2 linked regions of the Lepisosteus oculatus genome follow. The protein of the gene in region 1 binds, or shares a complex with, the protein of each later gene. Links are inferred from orthologs where the notes say so. Each region holds a gene or a part of one and is shown in the gene's direction. Other genes may lie near its edges.

Region 1 (10,570 bases):
TTCACATTGCCAGGAACAGCCCCACCTCATCTTTGTACCTCACAGCCATGGAACAGAAAGTGTACGGCTCTCTCAATATCCACACCATTGTGAAACAAGAAGATATCGCACAGCCACCTCTTCAGGAAGGTAACCTTAAACTATAGTCACCGAGTGTAAAAAAAACCCTACTAACTTGAATTACCAAAAAAAAATATCAGCACCTCTAAATACAAATTTCCTTGCTCGATATTTGAGAGAGAGAGCCAGTTTTTAGCTGGAGGAGGTTTAACTGTAGTTAGTTTTCCTAACTATAACTGCTTATAGTTAAAACCGATTGCCCGTTAAAACTGCTGCCTTATAAAACTGATTCCTTTCTCTCTGTGTGCCTGTCTGTGTTGTGGTGCTAAAGTTTTTTTTTTTCCCTCAGTGCATAATGGTTTATTTATACATCCATTTTCTACACTGCTTTATCCAGTAAGGAGTCGTGAGGGGAGCCAGAGCCTAATCTGGCAAGAAACGGGCGCAAGACAGGATACACCCTGGACAGGACGGCAGTTCATCACAGGGCACGCACAGACACACACACACTCATACCGGTGCCCAATTTCCCAGAAGCCTGTTAACCTGCCAGCATATCTTTGAACTGTGGGAGGAAACCCATAAGAACATGGGGAGAATATTTAAACTCCGCCCAGATAGCACCCCAGCAATTGGTCCCAGGGCCCATGAACTGTGGGGCAGCAATGCTAACACTGTGCCGCTCGCATAAGGGTTTATTGGTCTACAGATTTTTTTATTACATCAGTTTAGGATGTGTAGTTTTTTTACTTGCAGTAACGCTGTGCATCATGTTGTTGTACAAGGATAACTGCTGTTACTTCCCAAACTATGTGATAACAATAAATCATCATTTTATATTTTACAAGGCTTTTGTAACTTGTTTATTGCATTCTGTATTTTTAGAGACTTGTCATGCTAGAGACACTGGCTCCTCAGAATACTATGAAGAAGAATCTTCAGAACAGAAGGCTTCGGGCTTACAGACTCATACCTGTCAAGACCCTTCAGGTGCCCTTCAGACGCCCCCACACACCTACGCAGAGCAGTCCAGCTCCAGCCCATTTGGAAACCAAGAAATTTCACCAGAAGGAAGCAGCACTTTTTCACGTCGGAACAAAGTAGAACCTGCAGCAAGCGAGGGCTCTCCTGCCAGAGGGACAGCGCAGGGCTCCTATCCTGCACTGAGGGGGCATTTGAAAGCCTGGAGTGGGATGAGCTGTAACAAGACTGTGCCACTGGGGTCCTTCGAGCAGCAGCTCCTGAGGGCTCACCGGGAGCACACCGCCGCTCTCAAGGACGGCTTCCGCACCCTCACCAGGCAGAACAGACTGATCTACAGGGAGATGTGCGAAACCAACAAGAACATCGCCCGCATTGCCTCCTGCCTCGCGGAAAAGAACGAGAGCGTGTCGGACCTGGCCGAGGAGCTCGTGGGCATCCATCACAAGATCACGGAGAGCATCGACGCCACCAACTGTCTCCAGGACAGGGTGATCGACCTGCTGGCATCCCAGCAGGAGCGCTCCGTCTTCGTGGTGCCCAGTGCTGTGAAGGCCCCTGTGCCCACTTCCTCCATTGTGGAGCAGGAGAACACTGCACGCAGAGAGGAAACAATGTGATTGAACTAATGGAGTAGCAGTTTACTCCACATATATGTTAGTCATCATGTTACCTTGTTTCTTGTGTTGGAGAAAATCCTTCTCTGTATTTTAGGGACCGTAACTTATGAGTTTTTGAGCCAGGCTTTAATACACTAGAACCTCCAGCCCCTCCACTGTTATTTCCCAGTTTTGAAAAGTCACATCTTTGTTGTTTTTTCAATGAAAAGGTATTTATTGGAAGGATGTTTGGCTAGATGTGGGAAGGACAGCCTAATCCAGTTTATCACCCTTAGCTGTAATTTATAAAAGCATTGCTTTAGGATATTTCAGCTAGCTGTTTAGAGAAAAAAAGCTTAAAAATATAAGAAATAGTTTTCTTTTTTAGGAAGCTTCCATACAGATCTCTTAAACTTCTTTACATGGTTTAAAATGACTATACTCAATAAACCCAGCTAATGAATAATTCACGTAGTACAGTCATAAAACTTTACTATAAAGTGAAGCATGCATGCTTTTCACATTTTTGAAAATATTTTTAAGTTTGATGCATAAAGTAACTTAATAGGTATGTGTTTATGTAAGATTTATCATAGACCTCCTGATTATTTAAAAGCCTTTCTGCTGCTGCACTGACATTTTGCGCTTTTTGTAGTCTGTTTGGCACTTATTTCCATGGTTTGGAAGAAAGGAAAAGAAATGCAAGATTTTACTTTTACCAAAATATAAAATGTGTCACTTTCTATGTGCTTAATAATGGGACCAGAAGATAAGGTAAGAAGTAAGAACAGGAGTTCATGTGTTCATGCTTCATCTGTGGATTAACTGTGCAGTAGTGAGTAGGTCCACTTCTTCCAGCAGTTGTTATGGCTCAGGACCTGTTGGTAACATTTGTCAATACAGTACAGTATATGCAATATGGTATATCCAGATAACAATAATAGACCTTATGGATTATGTTGTGTAACAACTTTAAGGAACAATGTTGTCATTCAAGTAAAAGACATAAAATGATATTTTTTGGTTCAAAGTTCCCATCCATATCCAGTGTAACTGTTGTAAGGCCAGTCAATATACGGTATGAACGACATTAAGAAAATTGCAATTTTCTTCAATCACCATGTTGATCAATTAGAGAATTATAAATAAACAGTATTTTCATGATCTCATGGACATATATATGTAGATGTTTATAGTCTACTAATTTCATTACTTGTAAATATTTTTATAACAAGTTCTTAAGAATAAATGAATTCAGAAATTAAAAATTGACATTTTTTTCAAAATGACGCATTATAATTGGTATTGTAATTAATTGTCTGTTGTTTTTCGTGATAAAACAAGCAGCAATGCCAAACTAAACAAGGATGGGCTTGGTCAGTACTGGGGGAGGAAACCTCAAGGAAAGCCAGGCTGCTACTGTATGTGAGGACCAGGAAGTTGATCTTTCCCCTCTGGGCCATCTATCCGTTTCTTACCACTTCATACAATTTAGGGTCATGGGAAAGCCAGAGCCTATCCCAGCAAGCAACTTTCACAAGGTGGGAATGGTATGCCAGTCCATCACAGAGCACACACAGACACACCAGGGCCAATTTTCCCAGATGACAATTAAGCTATCAGTATGTTTTTGGACTTGGGATAAACACACAGTACAAACTCCATGCTCTCAGCACCCATCCAGAATTGGGCCCAGGGCCCCAGCATTGTGAGGTAGCAATGCTAACTCTGTGCCACAGTGCTCCCCATCCCTCTGGACCACATTTACCAAAATGCAGTGCTCCAGGAAAATGACAGGGCACTGTCCTGTGGGATGTGCCATTAAGTTAATGTCCTGACTTATAGATGATTAAAGGTCCCATAAGTTTTAGTTTTACCCTAACACCCTGGCTAAATTGCATTTTGAATTTGAACAATCAGACCTGCTTAAATTTCCACCTAAAATTCAACCGGTGAGGTAATATCTGATTTCTGTCTGATCTGCAACACTCCACTCAAAACGCTTTAGAGGTAATGGGGTTTCCCCTCCACCACCACTGATGTGCAGCCCCACCTGCATGATGCAACAACAGCCATAGTGTGCCAGAACGCTCACCACACATCAGAACAGAATGATGAAGCCAGTTCATATTCAGGTGGGGATAATTAGGAGGCAAATGGGAAATTTGGCCAAGACACTGGGGTTATACCCCTTCTCTTTTCAAGAAACACCCTGGGATTTTTAATGACAGTGTCAGGACCTCAGTTCCATCTCATCCGAAAATGGCAACTTTTATAGCGTCCTTTTCACTATACTGGGGCATTAGGAACCACACAGATTGCAGGGTGAGCGCCCCCTGCTGGGTCCACTAACACCTCTTCCAGCAGAAACCTTAGTTTTTCCCAGGAGGTCTCCTATCCAGGTAATGACCAGGCTCACACCTGCTTAACTTCAGTGGGCTGCTATTTGTGAGATGCCTTCAGTAATGAAGTATGCTCCGATAAGAACGTTAAAGCACTTTTAGATATGTTGGTAAGAAATGTCTGTATAGATGCAGGTAATCAAAAGAACGTCTAATGCAATTGGAATTTTATTTAACATATCAGTTTCATTTAGAACAGTATTAGTAGATTTTTTCATGTGTACATTTTACACCATATTTTAATATAATATTTAAATAGCGTATTAAACAATGGAGACCACACAGGGTCTAAGAAAATAACTTTTAAGTTTTTTTTCTGGAAAATATGGCAAAAGGTAAATTAATTTTCCACTTAATTACTTATAATGTATAGTAACACTGTAACAAATATAGTAACAAAACTGCCTTCACATTGTAAATTCTCAAGATAATGTTTTGTACTTCTCCCCCTAGTGGTATTTATTGGAATATGAAGCCTAATGGCTAATGTTCTGGTTATAATGCCACCAAATTGCATTAATCAAAGATTTCATCCTAGTTTAATTGAACACGGTGTGTAGTTGCTAAACTCATCAAGGATATGATAAGAGGGGGTAGCAGAGACTATAGTGAAGTCATTGCTGGGTACTATAGAGTTTATTTCCAGCAGCGATGCTGTTCTTAACGTCTATCAAAGATTCAGACTCTAGTAGAGTCAGTAGCCGTAATAATGAAGATAATGTAACAGTAGGAGCACAGTAGGAGATGTAGGCAAAACCCGGAACTGGCCCGACACATGACATGAAATGCGGATACGCACAAAATATGTAACAGCGAGTGTGAAATACAAATATCAGCTGGGTGGTATTAAACTGAAAGAGGTAATATACTGTATGAGTCAGATCTCAACCATGGGACATAATTTAAATAAATGATGAACAGTTTCAGGGCTACTGTCACAAAAAAACAAATTTATCGTCTGTATTAATTTTAAATCTCTGGACAACAAGGGTCTTAGCTGGGTAAATTCAATTAATTATTTTGTATGAAACCTCCTTAACCTTATTAGTTATTTAAGATTTATTGGGCATCATCCACATTTTTTTCCAATCAACCCATTTTCAAAATGAGGAATTCCAATATAATGTAACAGCGAGGATATTATCATTTTGCAACAGAGATCTTAAAAATGTTATTACATCCACAACTCAAAATGTCTTTTCCTTTTGTAGTCTGATGCGACCTGTAAATTCTTCCAGCGTCTCTAATAATATAATAATAAACTTGATTTTATATAGCGCCTTTAAAAGTGGCTTCTCAAAGCGCTTTACAGGATGACAATAACAATAAATAAGAAGAATGCAACAATAAATAAGATTTCACAAGATAAGACACAATTACAATTACAACAATACAACAATAAAAATAGAGGAGACTGTGGAAGGTGGTACTAAGAAGAGCAGAGGGGTGAAGAATGGAACCAGTTAAGTTAAGGCTTTTCTGAAGAAGAAGGTTTTGAGTCTGGATTTGAAGGAGTTTAGAAAAGGTGACTCTCTAATATCCTTTGACAAAGAGTTCCAGAGCTTGGGGGCATAGCAGGAGAAGGCCCTGTCGCCCATACAATGTAGACGGGCTTGGGGGACAGTAAGGAGGGCAGAATTTGAAGAGCGGAGGTTGCGAGGTGGGGAGTAGGGCGATAATAGTTCAGACAAGTATTGAGGTGCCAAGCCATGTAAAGCCTTATAGGTGAGCATGAGGATTTTAAAGTCTACGCGGAATTTGACCGGAAGCCAGTGCAAGAACTCCAGGATAGGAGTAATGTGAACACTTGCACTAGACCTGGTCAGGATTCTGGCTGCTGAATTTTGGACTACTATTGCAACTCCTTTAAAAAGTCAATATTTTCCTAGGAATCGCGGTAATTACAGCGAAATATTGATAAAAAGTAATAGAAATATTATATATTTTAACAAACTCGATGCCAGCTCATGATGTTCAACAGCTCCACACCACCCCGCCCCCGTATAACTCTGGGCTCTGGGCTGGGCAGAATGTGTAAGGATTTCATCGGCGCCGTTTAATGATGTCACTTGTTTGCGCCGCAGGGGAAAGGGGAGTGTAGAGAGTTGAGAGCTTTTCAAAGTGCGCTTGCTCTGGTAAGATGGCTGCTTCTGCAACATCAGAGTTGAGCTCCCTATGTGAAAAATACAGCCGCGTCGTTACTCTTTCTGAGGTAGAATCCAGGAAGGACCCGGAGACTGACCCTTTTCGCTCCAAGTACAAAGCCAGGGAGCTTCTGAAGGAGATCATCTGTACCCTGAGGAACCAGTATATCGGGGAGGATGACGGGGAAAGCGACCAGCCCCAGAAGGATCAGATTCTTGAGGGTTCAGACTCAGAGGGATGTGGGAGCGGTTGTGTCGGGGGCTCGCCAGCCGCCCTCAGGGCAGCAAAACTCGGAGTGATCGAGCACCTTCTAGGGGTAAACCATGTGGAGACTGAAGAACTTTCCGCTGGAGAGGAACATCTGATGAACTGCCTCAAACTGCTGGATAAATACAGCATGTCACGGGAAAACATCTCTATAAACATACAGACCAGGGTATTGTATTGTTGCCACGTTCCATTGTGAAAAAACTGCACACCATATCACATTAGAAAAAGTAATAGGTTTATTCCATGCTGAGAAAAAGAAGAAAGAAAACAACGTTTCGGCCGTGGAGCCTTCTTCAGGTGTGAGAAGGCTCCACGGCCGAAACGTTGTGTTTTTTCTTCTTTTTTTCAGCATGGAATAAACCTATTACTTTTTTCCTTTGCAGACTACGCATGCTGACGCAGCTACCCACCTGAAATATCTCATTATGTTAACGATACCTTTTTTATGCACACGTTATTTTAATTACATTTTATTTTTATACAACCGACAGTTATTCTAAGGCAAAACTATAACGCTTTTAGCCTGTAGCAACCGGTTTTGTAGTATCTGATGTCATATATTTCTGTCCCCAAATCTAAGAGAAATGTATAATGTTAATAAAACATTAACGGTAATTGACAGGTAATCCTTCATGTTAAATTTCTATCTTTTGGGGAACTGTATACGTTTTGTAGAGGAAACGAATGGTCCAATGCGACACTTCATTTCGTTTATTTTGGAAGTGAATAAAGGAGTGGATTTAAGACAGGTGGCTGAGAGGAAAATGTCTTCATTCTTTCTGTAGAATCAGTTGGGTATTCTGTGGGCTGGACGAGATGAAACTGAGAAGGCGCAGGGTTTTCTGGAAACTGCAGAGTCTCTGTACATTCAGTACATGAAACAGGTAAGTTAGTTATGTATTCCTGTGGTTTGTGATTACAGTTTACTGCCTTGCGAATCAGACAACGTTACACTACCTTAATCAAGCCGGTACATGTTCGTTTACATTAGAAGGCGTATAGTTGCTCTGAACAGGAAGCGATTGCCTGCGTGCATTTATACTTGACATATTATTACAGACTTTTCATTCATGCAGAAATATCGTTCCTGAGATATTAAGTATTGTGATATTGATCTGTCAGGTATTTTTAGGGTTGTTGAATAATTTCCTAGAAATATACAGTATGGTGATGTCGTACACCTCAGGGGTAGCCAACCTTGGTCCTAGGGGCAAACAGTCTAGTGTGTATTACAGGCCAGCCAAAATCATCAGTTTGTGAGCTTTAATTAATTCTGTACAATGCGCAGTTTAAGTCCAGAATGGTCAAGAGTGATCCTTAGAGCTACAGAATGTTAATAGGTTCGTGTTGCACAATCTCTGATTTACTGTAAATGAGAGGAACAAATCCCTTGGATCAAATGGTCATAAGGAAACTCTTCCAAGTAATAGTGGTTTTGTTTGTGAACATGCAGTCCCCTTCTTCTCCAAATTCAAAGCAGCGGCCCTGCCAGAATGCTTGCTTTTAAACTGATTTAAGCTAGAAAGACCTGTTTTTTCCAAACAGGATGGACAGCCCCCAATGGATCTCAGTGACTTCTTTGTGACAGAAGGGGAAAGTGTATTGGACCAAGAAAGAACAAAAAGGTAGTTACTCGGATTAAAAGTAAGCATTAAACTGAGTTTTCTTATATTACTGACATTTTACTAGAAAGGTAAGTAGTTTCTTAATGTAAGTTATAAATCATGTGACAGACATGATTGTGTCAGTCTCGTTATATAATATTGGCCTTGTTGTGCAGTTAATCTTGTCACAGCATTATCTTTCTGTAAACATGTGCCCAAGGTAAATCTAGAAGCTTTGCCACTGGTAGTGGTGTTTGGACATGTTAGGGACAACTGCTAAAGCCTTTTCTTTGTCCGCAAAATGCAAAGGAAATAAAACTAAAACATGCATCTCTTTTGTTATGCTGGACAGATTTGAAATGGCTCACACTTACACATTGTATTACTTGGCTCAAGTCTACAAGAACCTGGAACAGTACGAAAAAGCTGGCCGGTACTGCCACACCACTCTTCAGAGGCAGCTGGAGTTTAACCACTTTGTTCCTCTAGAATGGGCCATCAATGCTGCAACATTGTCCCAGTATTACATTACTAAGGTAAGAGTCAGCTCAGGGCAGGCTGGTGCTTTCTGCCCAAGACACGCAATGCAGTGGGACTGAAGCTTTGACTCGTACGTGCTAGTCCAGAGTGTTGCAGAAAGTGTTGTTTATTGCAGATGTGATGCTCAGCCTTACTCCAGCTTTGTCCCTGAGGTTCACGGTTGCTCTGTAACTTTGGTTAGAATTATACAGTAACTTTGCCAGTTTTGTTTTAAACTCAGTGTGGTCTTTTTTTTTTAGATCAGTGTTCTCTGGTCAGAAAAGTTGGAGTATTTCTTGACTTACTTTTCTACCCATCAGCAAATACAATTCTCCTTCTTATACTGTCTTTTTTTTTTCAAAATTTAAAGTATAATAAAGTAGATTGCCTTAAATCTTAAATTTCTGAGAACTGGCTGGTTTCCATTAATTTCTATTATTGTCCTTAATAGACCCCCTCTAAACATGACTGGGGTGTTGCACACACTCCTACGGTTTATGAAGTTAATCCCAGTGGGCTCTGCAGGCAGTGGTCTGATATCATCAACATAAGACCTACTTCTCTTGCAGCATCACTGTGGCTGTTTCAAAGTCACATAGTAGACTTCAGCGGAACAATGTGAACAGGCGGTGAGGTGGCACTGTGGCTAAGGATCTGGGCCTGTGGCTGGAAGGTTGCCAGTTCAAATCCTGCGGCCGGCAGAGGAATCCTACTCCGTTGGGCCCCTGAGCAAGGCCCTTAACCCCAACTGAAAGAACTAATTTTCTTTCTTCTTTCTCTCCGTTAGTCTCGTTATATGGAGGGAAGGCACTGCTTAGCTGCGGCTGTTGTGGTTGCAGGCCTGGCAGGCGAGGTGCCGTCAGAAGCAGCAGCGCAGGAGAGTAAGTGTCACCCCGGGGCACTGGGGGTTTGTCCTCATGGCCGGTAGGGAGGAACTGAAGTTGTGAAAGTGAATGGGATTGTATTCATGAGCCAGACATCTGCGGAATTGTTTCAAAGTAAAAATGAGAAACGGGGAAAGATGGGGAGGCATAAATGAACCTTTGCTTTGTGTTGGAGACAGAGCAAGTTTTCACATTCTGTTGATTGAAATCTAAGACGTTGGAGTTAGTAGTACATTTACCAAATAGTACATTTACCAAGGTGTACCATGTCTTTCTTGGTCTAGACGAGGCAGAGGGTGAAAAGAGGGAGCAGCTTCGTCAGAAGAGAGCTGAAATAGCCCGGTGCTGGATAAAATACTGCTTGAATCTTCTGCAGGATGCCAAAAAACTCCTAGAGGTAGAGCTTTATTTTTTTTAATTGTTGAGTGTACATTTCTGTCCACTTTTGGTTGCCTTTTTGTTAAACACCATCTGTGGTTTTCCATTACTTTGTATTATTGCACTCGCAAGCTGTGTGCCTGTTCCTTTAGTTTCCTTCTGCAAGAGATTCTGTATGGGTACCTTCAGATGGCAGGCACATGTGAAACTTACTTTCTTTCCCTGGCAGTGAATATACTGCCTGCAAATCCTGTGGTCTCAATTGTTTGTCTGACCTTGGTGTAGAAAGAAGGATCCACTTATTTTAGAAGCAATAGGGAACAAAATCGGAACTGTAACAAAAGATGAGTTTGCAGTGCTTTCCCGTCACTTATAGGAGAAGTTTTTTTAAATGAACTTCCCTCTTCTGGTGGGTTTACTGCAGGATAATATTGGCGAGCTGGATGTGGAGCGTCAGGCGGAACTGAAAGCGCGCCGCCGGCAGGAGGACGAGGAGGAGGAGAAAGGCCTGAAGAGCGCCATCTTGTTTGGCTCCAGGGACATCTTCGATTCCATTTTGGCCCTGGAGGAGAAGGTGAGTTGCGCCTACCCTCTGGATTTCGAGGAAGCCCGGGCCATCTTCCTGGTGGGGCAGAACTACGTGACCGAGGCCAAAGAATACTTCCAGATGGATGGCCACGTCACGGACCACATCGAGGTGGTGCAAGACCACAGCGCTCTCTTCAAGG
Region 2 (10,949 bases), on another chromosome or scaffold:
TAGTGGGCTGTTAATTGTGGGGTCAGGGACTTCCAAGAGCATCGTGCACCCCAACAGCAACTGTCTCCCCTCCTCCTGTCTATTATGCTGAGCAGTGAGCCAGGAGAAAGCAGGTCTCACTGGGATTCAAACACTGGCCTCTCGATTTCTGCAGAAGACGCTCCAGTTGCTCAGCAAACTGTTATTTTGGCTTCATCGCCACAGAGCAAAAGAAAGAGGGGTCAACAGAAATTAGCAGGGGATCTGTGACAGCCTTTAAACACTGGCAGTAACAGCTTCAGAGCAATGGGTTGAGCTGAGGAAAGAACAGCAGGCCATGTAAGACCTCCCAATGACAGGCAATACCCTATCATTCTGTATGAGTAACCACACCACCAACCCTGTGATCTGCAGTGACAAAGTTGGAAGAGAGAAATCAGGGTGCACTGAGGCACCTTCAAAAATCAGTGCGAGTTTTTGGGATTCACAACCTGAATACATTACCACTGTCAAGGGAAAAAAAAACCCATTCGGGAACAGATGGCTGATATTTTAAATACAGCACACTGCAGCGTTGCTGTCTTGTCTTGGTGTTGGAGGCTCAGGAGAGACAGGGATACGTGACGGCCACCGGAACTGTGTGTCAGGGTTTTCACACCACTGCGTGTCTCAAACAGGACTTTATTAATTTAGGAAAATCCGCAGAGCGCCGGTGACTCACTCTGTTGTCACCCACATGTTGCACTCCTTAAATTTCAAAGCAAAACACTGCTGCAGCTCAGGGAGGGCAGAAACTTACTGCGATTATTTGCCTTTCATACTTTTCACTTCACAGCAACCACAGTGCCACTGTAGAAGTCTTCTGCATTACAAAAACTGGTACTTTCTGATTCCCTGTTGTTTTGTTAATCCATCATTGTCAGTTACCACCATCATTCTTACATATAAACAAAACAGCAGCGTTGTATTGGAGAGGACTGTTTCTTTAAATGCAGGAACTTGAAGGATGCACATTATAGGGGAGAATATACACCGCAGGAAATACAGGAGAAAGACAAGAGCATTGGACAAAAACAATGCTGGTGAAAGAATATACACATGAGATCCCTGTACTCAGGTGGCCTTCTGATGCTCCAGCTAAACATAACTCTTCTGACTAGATCTCAGCACAGCCCCTACATAGAAAGAATACAGTGACACTGAAACGGTTGGGCTTACTAACATAGCTCCTGACGTAGCTTATATCTATATATATATAAATTGTTCTTTTTGCAGAAGAACAGTGTGCGTTTGAGGGTGGATAGGATTTAGTCACAAACAGATGACACATTCTTTAGCACCTGTTTCACGACTGAAGCCCTACCAAATGATTTTGCATAACTTTCGCATTAATAACAGAGTCTTACTTTGAAGAAAAAAAAAATATAGACCTCTTCTTCGTTTGCATGGCAACCTCTCGTTGGCCAATCAGCGCAGCCTGTTAAGTGTCTGCGCGGCTGTACCAATTTCCCTGACTCTTGCATTCTCTCATTTGTCTTACAGGGGGGGGGGGGAAATGATTAGGCCTACACGTTCACAATAAAACAAGTCAAATACTCAGAGACGTAAAAGTATGCGCAAAGGATTTCTTGAAAGCCAGTATTTAAGGGCAGACCAACCAGACCATTGTTAACAAGCTGTCTTATGAAATATTTAGTCCGCTAGTCAAATTTGTCCTTTACCAAATTAGAAAAGTCAGTGCTGTCATCCCGATAGTTTCATCATGCACATCCTTTATTAGAGTTCAATAAATCACCACAGCGCTGGAATTCTTGGATTTACTTCTAAATGGGTTTATTGTAATAGGGACGAAATCTTTTGCATTTTTCTTGTACGCGGAGATGACAAATGCAAGGACCTGGAAACAATTGCTTCAGACGGTGTGTTAGAATTTGTCGGGGCAGCAGTTTCTGAGAAGCCACGGCGCCCCTCTCCCACCCACATACTGTGTGTAACCCCCCCCCGATAGGCGCAAATATTAGGACGCATGGCCCCTAAGGGATTTGTTGCCTCACAGGAAAATAACAGCACCTGGACTAAGCTGTTCAACAGGGAGATACCCCAAGACTACACATAACCCCAGGGACACCTGTTGCTTAACATTATTACAGTACAAAGTATGTAATGCTTTCCTCCTCTGCAGAATAATGAATTCACCAAATTTAAAGACATGAGAATGAGCCACAGTCAAGTGTGTGACCAACTCTGTCGATGCAAGACTGGACTTATCAAACCTAGTCACTATCTTTACCTATTTGCAAGCATTCACTTCCTAACTTTAACAAGAAAGCTGATTCAACGTCTCAAGAGAAAGAAAACTGCAGCTTCAACCAAGGCTTTACAGTTATCCGATGCCTGATCTGTCCCCTTTACCGAGAAGTCTCCTGCTGAAAAATACTCCTCATGTGAAAAAACTCAGGAAAATCCAGACAGATGCTTGGGGAGTCCAGTTAGACTCCACCTTCCATTCCACCAGTCACCCAGGAACTGGGCTCCATTATTTCAGTCAAGGAAAGACGAACTGGGGGTTCACTTGATTGGAGAGTTTCAGACAGGTCCTAGTTTCAGTTTAAGACAACACTATCACCTGATTAAATGCATTGGTAAAAAAAACTCACAAAAGCTTTTTCGCTCTGTTTTCCTGTCTTCTGCAATTTCCCTCACGAGATTAATAAAGTTATCTAATAATAATAATAATAATAATAATAATAATAATAATAATAATAATAATTGCTTACACTTATATAGCGCTTATCTGGACACTCCACTCAAAGCGCTTTAGAGGTAATGGGAGGAGGAGGAGTTGGGAGGAGAGCACAGTAATGAAGCCAATTCATAGATGGGGATTATTAGGAAGCCATGATTGGTAAGAGCCAATGGTAAATTTGGTCAGGACACCGGGGTTACACCCCTACTCTTTTCGAGAAACACCCTGGGATTTTTAATAACCAGAGAGTGTCAGGACCTCAGTTTTACGTCTCATCCAAAGGACAGTGCCTGTTTACAGTATAGTGTCCCCATCACTATATTGGGGCATTAGGACCCACACAGATCACAGGGTGAGCACCCCCTGCTGGCCCCACTAACACCTCTTCCAGCAGCAACCTTAGTTTTTTTCCCAGGAGGTCTCCCATCCAGGTACTGACCAGGCTCACACCTGCGATATGGCTGCCAATCTATCTTATTTATAAATGCTTTTGTATCCTTTATACACCTCCTGCAGATGGGAGAGAACTACCCACACCCTCCTGGCTCCTGTACTCCAACATTGCATCTCTTAAACAAGGGACAATCAACCCCAAATGTATTTAAAGTAAACGAGAGAATGTGATCCAGATGTTAAAAAAAATATCTGACTTTTTTGTTAAAGATCCAAACACAAAACGAGCCTACCTAAAATAAGCACATGTTTAATGTGCACCATTATACTGAGACGGCCTGTTTCATTTCCCATTCGAAAGAAGCTAAATAAAGTCCAAATTACTCCCATCTGACGAAACACAGGCAGGGCTAATATAAACCGTGGCAGAATTGAGACGAACGTCTCCTTTTGATCTTTGAAGACGAAAAAAAAATGCTTAGTCTCGGAGCCAAAGTCATTTTTTTCTCAGTGTTTAATTACACCAACACAAATACGAGGGACTGTTAGATGCTTGAATGTTGTGCGCTATCCACGCATAGGCGCCTGTCATTTGTCAACAGTTACAGCCCTTGCATCTAGCGTCTGATGGGCTTTTGGACGCTTTCCCTCTCCAAGTCGTGTGGGACAAGAAATTGGATTGTTTTAACCGCAAAAACCGGAAAGATGCACGCCGCTGATAAAGAATTGTTTGCTAGGTGTATCCAGTTCTGTTAACAGCGGGTGCATTCGCCAAACCCCCCTCACTGAATTTACGGGTCTGTCATCCAGTCCTTCGTCTTTCTTCAGTCATTTGCAAGGGATCGTGTTAGTGCTGTCAAACTGAGCCAGTTAGCGGTTCCACTCGTACTTCAGGGTCATAAGCTGGAAAAGAAACCACCAGACCTGGCACTCAGGTCCTGCCTCATACCCGTCTCAATCTATGCAATTTATATTGTAGGAAATGTTTTTGTTTTAGAATGTATACACAGCTGCAAAACAGAAAGAAACAAAGGGCAAAGCCTCCAGATTCCATATCGATAAAGTAACTTCCCCCCGTTCCTTGACCTTTCTTCCTGCAAATGAAAACAAGATTGTGCCCATCTCCCGCGGACGCTGGAGAATTATTTAATCAGATGCGGGACTTCACTTTAAGGGGGGGGGAGAGAAAGTTCTGGAAAGAGCAGCCCAAAACTGTTTCGTTTATCAGACTCAAGCTGTTTTGTGAGGTATTCCGGGTGCTTTAATTAGTATTGGGGGTTTACAGATTAACAGGAATTTACTGCAACATCTGTCTTCTGTTTATAGACGTATGCTTGCAGACACGTGTCTTGTAATTATCTCTCTGCTCCCACCTCCCGTCTTACGCCGTCTTCGCTTAGAAACCCCCAGCAGCGCTTAAAAAAAAGCTACGACGAGTCCGCATTCAGAGTTTGGGCTGAGGATGAGAAATCAAAATAGTCCTAAGAGCTACGTTCGGTATTAGGTTTAGAAAACAGCAGCTGGCAAACCTGCCTTTATCTATCTGACAGCTGGGAGGCCTCCTGATTTCACTTCTTATGACAGGAGTGTGAACTGCAACCTACACCCCATTATTCGAGTCTTTATTGCATCAGGCTCTTCTTCTTTGATCGCTGCTGGGTCAGTGCTTCCTGGCTGTTGTGGGGTGAGGTCTGCCTTTTTCATGAGTGCACCCTAAAAAGCAGGTGTGTGCAGTTTCTCCTCATCGACAGAACAATCAGACACCTTTAATTCTACTGAAAAAGTAATCAATTTAACAAAGCGACAAGTAAAGGTTTATTTCATGCTGCAAAGAAAAAGGAAGACAACGTTTCGGCTGTGGAGCCTTCTTTCTGGGGGTCACGTTACCTACCTGAACTTGAATTTAACCTACTTGAAATTAACAAAGTGTTCAGGTAGAAACGGCTTAACGCCAGCACAGAACACGGGCCATGAGCACCACGTATTGCTGCTTTCCAATTATATGCCGGTGTCTTAACTAATAATAGTTGGACAACACCGATGTGTGATACAGACTAGCTCTCTCATCCCTTGCCTTTAGCTGTAAACCGAAGCAACGCCACCAAGGGGATAGTACAGCCATTGTAAAGCTGGTTGTGTAAGCAGTACTATTAGACGCGCCACCAGATCACATACTGATTCTCTGAGAAAGCTGGGCCTTCACCGAGGGCAGAGGGGTACATAGGCGATACCGGGTCTCGCAGGTTACAATTGAATGAATAGGAAACAGACATTAGATTTATGTTAAATCAGAGCCCTTAACGAAGTGCGAACCGTCTGCATCCCCCACAAGTTCACATGGTAACACGTTCTCCTAAAACTGCCATTATACAGAGTAGTTGAGACGCTACCGTTCCTATGGAAAGAGCCGGGGTTTTTTTGTTTTGTTTTGATGGAATAATCATTTCATTTCCATGTTCTCACACACTGCCATCACTATTCTAACTCCCTGCTGGAATATTCGCTTAAATGTGTTAATACACCCCGGTCAGAAAAGGCATTCATGGGTGAAACGTTTACAACATGGTTTATGCTGCTGTCTGACACATTTATCGAAGGGGTGATCCGACTCTAGCCCGTATTCTGAAACAAAATCCCCATCAGATTAATTAGGCATTTTAAATACCCGCTGTAATCAAAATGCGTACTGTTGCAGTCATAAAAACGTTGTATAGGGCGGTGTTGTGTTTTATAAATGAATAAAATTAAATTATAGATCGAGCAGTGAGAGTATCAATTTGAGCCTTTTACAGAAAACATACAATTGCAGCATACCGCATTAACTCTCACTCCCACTGTAGTTAAATTAAAATGTTAACTTACACAGTGGGCACTGTCAGTAGACACACGTGAGGAGTCCGGCAGAGGTGATGTCAAATTCGGTACATCACCGAGAAGGGCTCTACTCTACAACAAAGGTCAGGCACGTTGGTTCCGGTGTTGTAAATGTACGGTACTGTTCAGCGTTAAACCTTTGGAATATTATACAGATTTTAGAATTATGCCTTAATAAAAAAAATAAGGTGGTATTTTAAACGATTAAACAAACAAAATGACACTGAAAAGTCTGTCTACCGCCTAAAAGCGAAAACAAAATAGAAATAATAAAATTAGCGAAGTGGAAGTAATTCACGTTACATATCTAGAGCGGTGAGAGTGTTTCTTTTATTTTATAATTTAATAAAAAGCTTTGCGTGTATTCGCCTCCCCATTTCTTAGTAACGAGATCGATTATCTCCCATTAAACAGTTGATCCAAAGACAGGCTGGGGATTCGATAACACTTTTTCCCAAAACCCCACCCCCCAGCGAAGAGCCACACCGTGCTGCTCAAGTAGCTGCGGCATTACACGCTATGTTGAAAACTGGGGCGGCAGGAAGAAGCTGAAACTCCCAGATTTTCTCCCCACTCCATTCATGCACTGGCTACGCCATCTGACGCGTGACGTCAGCGGGCGTGTGCCGTGACGTCACCGCCCGTGAGCCAATCGGCTGCCGCGGGCGTAAAGCGTCTGGAATTTGAAAATGTTGTTCGAGTGCCTACTGGAAATGCTCTAGGGAAGACTGTAGTTATTCTGTTTGTTTTTTTAAAACAAGGCCGGTTGCTCCTTTAAGTTAAAATAACTTGTCGAAGGCGTTTTCTTTTTGTTAACAGATGTAAAAAAAGTGGGTGAGTTTTATCCGTTTTTAAAGGGATTGTCGGGCTCTGGGCATGCACAGTTTGAAAGATGCACGGCCTAAACGTAGGGGTTCTGCTAACCAGGCCGTTAAGTCGATTCCTAAAATTGTTTTTGTTTACTTGTTCATTGTTGCTCTAGCACTATGAAAGTTGTTTAAATCGACTTCACGGTGTATATTGCATCCTACTGAAAGTACGACTTTGAAATCGATAATTTAATTTTAGTGCATTCGGCTTCAATTTCCTAATACTTGAGTAATGCGAATTATTCAATGGCAGAGTGTCAAAACATGGTGCGAGGTGGTGACCGGCTTGTTAATGCACATTGCACGATCACCGTTTTTATTCTCTTTCGCTTTTCTCGCGTGGTTTTGCTGATCGGGGAAGTTGGTGGGTTTTCTAATGCTCTTCAATGGTTGGTATGGGGGGGGAGGTCTCGTTCAATCGTGCTGAGCGAAAGAAAATGTCGGTCGAGTCCAGGTAGAGCCGGAGACGGTTAACTCTGCCGTGTCTCACAGGCTAGCCGTGTACAGCAATGGGCTGGAGGAGAACTGGATCAGGCTGGGCGCTAGCAGTGCCCAAGACTCCGGTCGTAGCCTCCACTTCCGGGTGGCTAAACCTGCTCAGGCTGTTCCTGTGTGATTCAGAACGAAAACAAATGGATGCTTTCAGATGTGTGTAACGTCTTCAGTGCGGGTGACTGGGATAGGCGGTGACAGAATGTTGCCACAGATCTCTCCCCAAGATGGGGGTGTGTAGGCTAAATGGAAGTTTCGGATCTTTAGTGAGTACCACACAACTCAAGTTTCTCATCTTTAAGTTTTGAATCAATCCTAAAATCTCTCTGGAGGATCATTTTAACATGTCTTTTAAGTTTTCTGTTTACACCCCAAAAGAAGGCAAACTTCTTTTGATTTTTCCAGTTTATAATAATTCCTTGCAGTTGTGTAGGACTTTTCTGGACCCTCCACTCAAAGCACTTTACAGGTCATGGGGATCCCCTCCACCCCCACCAGTGTGCAGCCCCACCTGGATGATGTGACGGCAGCCATAGTGTGCCAGTACACTCACCGTACATCACCTCTCAGTGTGGAGGAGAGCAGAGTGATGAAGCCAGTTCAGAGAGGGGGGTTATTAGGAGGCCATGAGTGGTAAAGGCCAGGGGGAAATTTGACCAGGACACCGGGTTGACACCCCTACGCTTTCCGAGAAACGCCCTGGAATTTTTAATAACCACAGAGAGTCAGGACCTCGGTTTTACATTTCATCCAAAGGACGGCGCCTTTTTACAGTGCAGTGTCCCCGTCACTATACTGGGGCATTAGGACCCACACAGACCGCAGGGTGAGCGCCCCCTACTTGCCCCACTAACACCTCTTCCAGTAGCAGCCTCAGCTTTCCCAGGAGTCTCCCACCCAGGTACTGACCAGGCTCACACCTGCTGAGCTCCAGTGGGCTGCCAGCTGGGAGCTGCAGAGTGATATGACTTATGCCAGCAGTCACAATGGCTTAAATTCATATTTGTAGGGGTTTACCTGGCACAAGGTGGTGAGGGGAAAAAGAAGGCAACATGCTGAAATCACTAATTGGTTTGAAGTAGCTATTTATCATTAATTTGCATCAAATGCAGTGATCACTTGATATTAAAGTGAGTTGATTTCTTAAGCATTGAAATGTTTTGTTGTTGTTGTTGTCTTTTCCAGATCTGATCCTTGGTACGTCGTTGGATCTCTCGGTACCGGTTTTCCTTGTGTGGCTCCCGCAGAGCCACTGCGCGGCCCAGACCCGCCGGGAGAGAGACCGCGGAGGGCGGGGGGGGGCGCCATGTCCGCCGGCGACAGCGGCGTGTGCAACCACGTGAAGGTGGTGGTGCGCGTGCGGCCGGAGAGCGGGCGCGAACGGGAGGGCGGCTTCAGGAAGGTGGTCCACGTGGTGGACGGCCACATGCTGGTCTTCGACCCCAGGGAGCAGGAGGTGAGCTTCTTCCACAAGAAGGCGCCGGGCAGGGACATCACCAAGAAGGCCAACAAGGACCTCAAGTTCGTCTTCGACCACGTCTTCGGGGAGGGCGCCAGCCAGCTGCAGGTGTTCGAGAACTCCACCAAAGGAATAGTGGACGGGGTCCTGAATGGATATAACTGCACGGGTGAGTCTCGGAGATCCCCCCTGGCCAGTTGTAGCGTGGGCTGGCCTTGACTTGAAGCTGTCCGCCTGTCGATGCTGGAGAAGTGTCTCGTGACGTCCGTCAAGTGTGGATGTTTCTCTCTGGGGGAGGGGCGGCCCCTGGAGTGCTCGGTGTCCCCAAAACCAGAGAGGGACCTTTCAACCCGAACTCTGTGGGGATAGTGTGTAAACATGACAGTGCTACACGGCGGAACTGCACAGACAGCGATTGATCGATATCTAGATCTGAAGATCGGCTTTGAATCTTCTCATAGTGATCATTTCTAATGATTAGGAGCTTCAAGCTGATTTAATGCTTAAACTTGGGTCCCGTCCAGATGGGGATGTCTGGGAGCTGGGGCCCTGTGGTCCACAATTGTTGAGGGGAAACGCCCGGTCTAGTGTGTGAGAAACGGGTTTCTCCGTGTTTCTGTGATTTTTCCTCTCAATGAAGCTCTCGGGGTGCATCCTTGGTGTGAGTCGAACAGCGGGGAGGGAGCTGTGTTTCAATCAGAGTGACACATTGTTTATCAAGTTTTGGATTTAAAAGGTGGTGGGGGGGTATTGTCTTCCTGCTGTGTGAACTATTTAAACTATTTTAGGGCATCCAGCAGCTGAAGGGTGGGATTCTCATTTTGCATGCAGACCGAGTTGCTTTTTGAAAGCCGCATAAGGGTGGCCTTGATGTGTCTGGGGAATGTGCTCTGAGCCCCCTGCCCGCTGGAGGCTGACTCTCGGGTCACCAGGGCCAGTCAACGAGCTGTGCACTCCAGTCCGTCTCACTCTCTCCCAGGGGTGATGAGAGGGGGTCTTGCACTGAGGCTTGCATCATGTCCTTCGGCATCCATGCTGCCATCTTGCCCCCCTCTCATTTTAGAAAAGAAAATCGGGTGAGAAGGGTCTTATCTGGCGTGGGCGCGCATGGCTGCACAAGAGAAGGAATGAAACCATTGCAAGTCAAAGTTCATAAAGGGAATGCAAGCTGGCCGTGGTCTGGTGCACCATCCCTTCCCACCAGACAAGCATTGTTCATTGTGTGTAAGAGGTCGCAGGGTTCCTGTTTATAAGTGGTCCAGCGCAAATGAATACTTGATGCACTTGACTAGAGTACTGAAGCTGGTGACCAAAACGACGTTTCACTTCGTGTTCCATGAATGTTGCAGTGTTTGCCTACGGGGCGACCGGAGCAGGCAAGACCCACACTATGTTAGGCTCGGCGGAGGACCCTGGCGTTATGTACCACACCATGAAGGAGCTGTACAGCCGTATCGAGCAGGTTCAAGATGAGAAGGTCTTTGACATTGCCGTCTCCTATCTGGAAGTGAGTGCTTATGGAATTTTTTCTGTTTATTCTCTTAGTCCTTGGCTGGGGGTCCCAGACTCCTCTGAAATTCAAACATGCCTGAAGTCGTTGCTTTACACACAGTACTTTATAGAAATTTGTGTTTTCATATACGATATTTAAAACTGTATAGTTACATATAGGCATTGTTGCTCCTTACAATACTGTCACAGTCACCTTTTAAAGCTAATTGTACTGATTTAAATCCACTTAATAATAATAATAATTGCTTACACTTATATAGCGCTTTTCTGGACACTTCACTCAAAGCGCTTTACAGGTAATGGGGTCTCCCCTCCACCACCACCACTTAAATCAATTGATTCTTGTTAAGTTGCCTTGTCTCTTTAATGAGTTTGAGTGGCTGCTTTGTTTGAATTGTTAGGGTCGATGAATGGGACATTAACGTTGTGCGGGGATTATTGATAACATTGAGGCTGTTTTGTATTGCTTAATTTTGTTACAGTGGGAGAGGTCTGTCTTAGGCCTTCAAAAAAAGGGAAGCTTGATTTAACCTTGAATTGAATTACCTTCATTGTAAACTAAGAACTGACGTTTGGGTAGTTGCGCAGGATAAAATATGCAAATTGCTATCCTCGGTTTGGAAAG

Evidence for each region.
Region 2: the proteins of kifbp (region 1) and kif18a are in contact, whole or in part, in a cryo-EM structure (PDB 7RSI), measured with the Homo sapiens proteins. The link is inferred for Lepisosteus oculatus from reciprocal best matches to the Homo sapiens genes KIFBP and KIF18A. Residues at the interface, in NP_056449.1 of Homo sapiens: Ser150, Glu151, Tyr212, Tyr213, Gln216, His220, Gln238, Ile251, Asn252, Thr255, Gln258, Asn262, Gly414, Tyr415, Val459, Asp460, Leu461, Asn462, Pro463, Gln464, Leu467; in NP_112494.3 of Homo sapiens: Glu181, Thr183, Gln184, Lys185, Gly186, Arg274, Phe275, Val276, Glu277, Gly278, Thr279, Asn280, Ile281, Arg283, Ser284, Leu285, Leu288, Gly289, Val291, Ile292, Arg314, Lys317, Asp318, Gly322, Asn323.

Annotation. Positions count from the first base shown.
Region 1 is NC_090699.1:30,753,070-30,763,639, forward strand, and holds the start of kifbp (KIF-binding protein), read left to right. Parts: upstream 1-6,118; 5' UTR 6,119-6,182; coding exon 6,183-6,623; intron 6,624-7,242; coding exon 7,243-7,341; intron 7,342-8,002; coding exon 8,003-8,082; intron 8,083-8,413; coding exon 8,414-8,597; intron 8,598-9,367; coding exon 9,368-9,461; intron 9,462-9,748; coding exon 9,749-9,861; intron 9,862-10,266; coding exon 10,267-10,570. Other genes in the region: myb-related transcription factor, partner of profilin-like, read left to right, coding at 1-129, 946-1,661. UniProt on the Homo sapiens protein: Activator of KIF1B plus-end-directed microtubule motor activity. Required for organization of axonal microtubules, and axonal outgrowth and maintenance during peripheral and central nervous system development.
Region 2 is NC_090716.1:3,252,829-3,263,777, reverse strand, and holds the start of kif18a (kinesin-like protein KIF18A), read left to right. Parts: upstream 1-6,608; 5' UTR 6,609-6,826; intron 6,827-6,909; exon of another isoform or gene 6,910-8,179; intron 8,180-8,538; 5' UTR 8,539-8,659; coding exon 8,660-8,981; intron 8,982-10,161; coding exon 10,162-10,319; intron 10,320-10,949.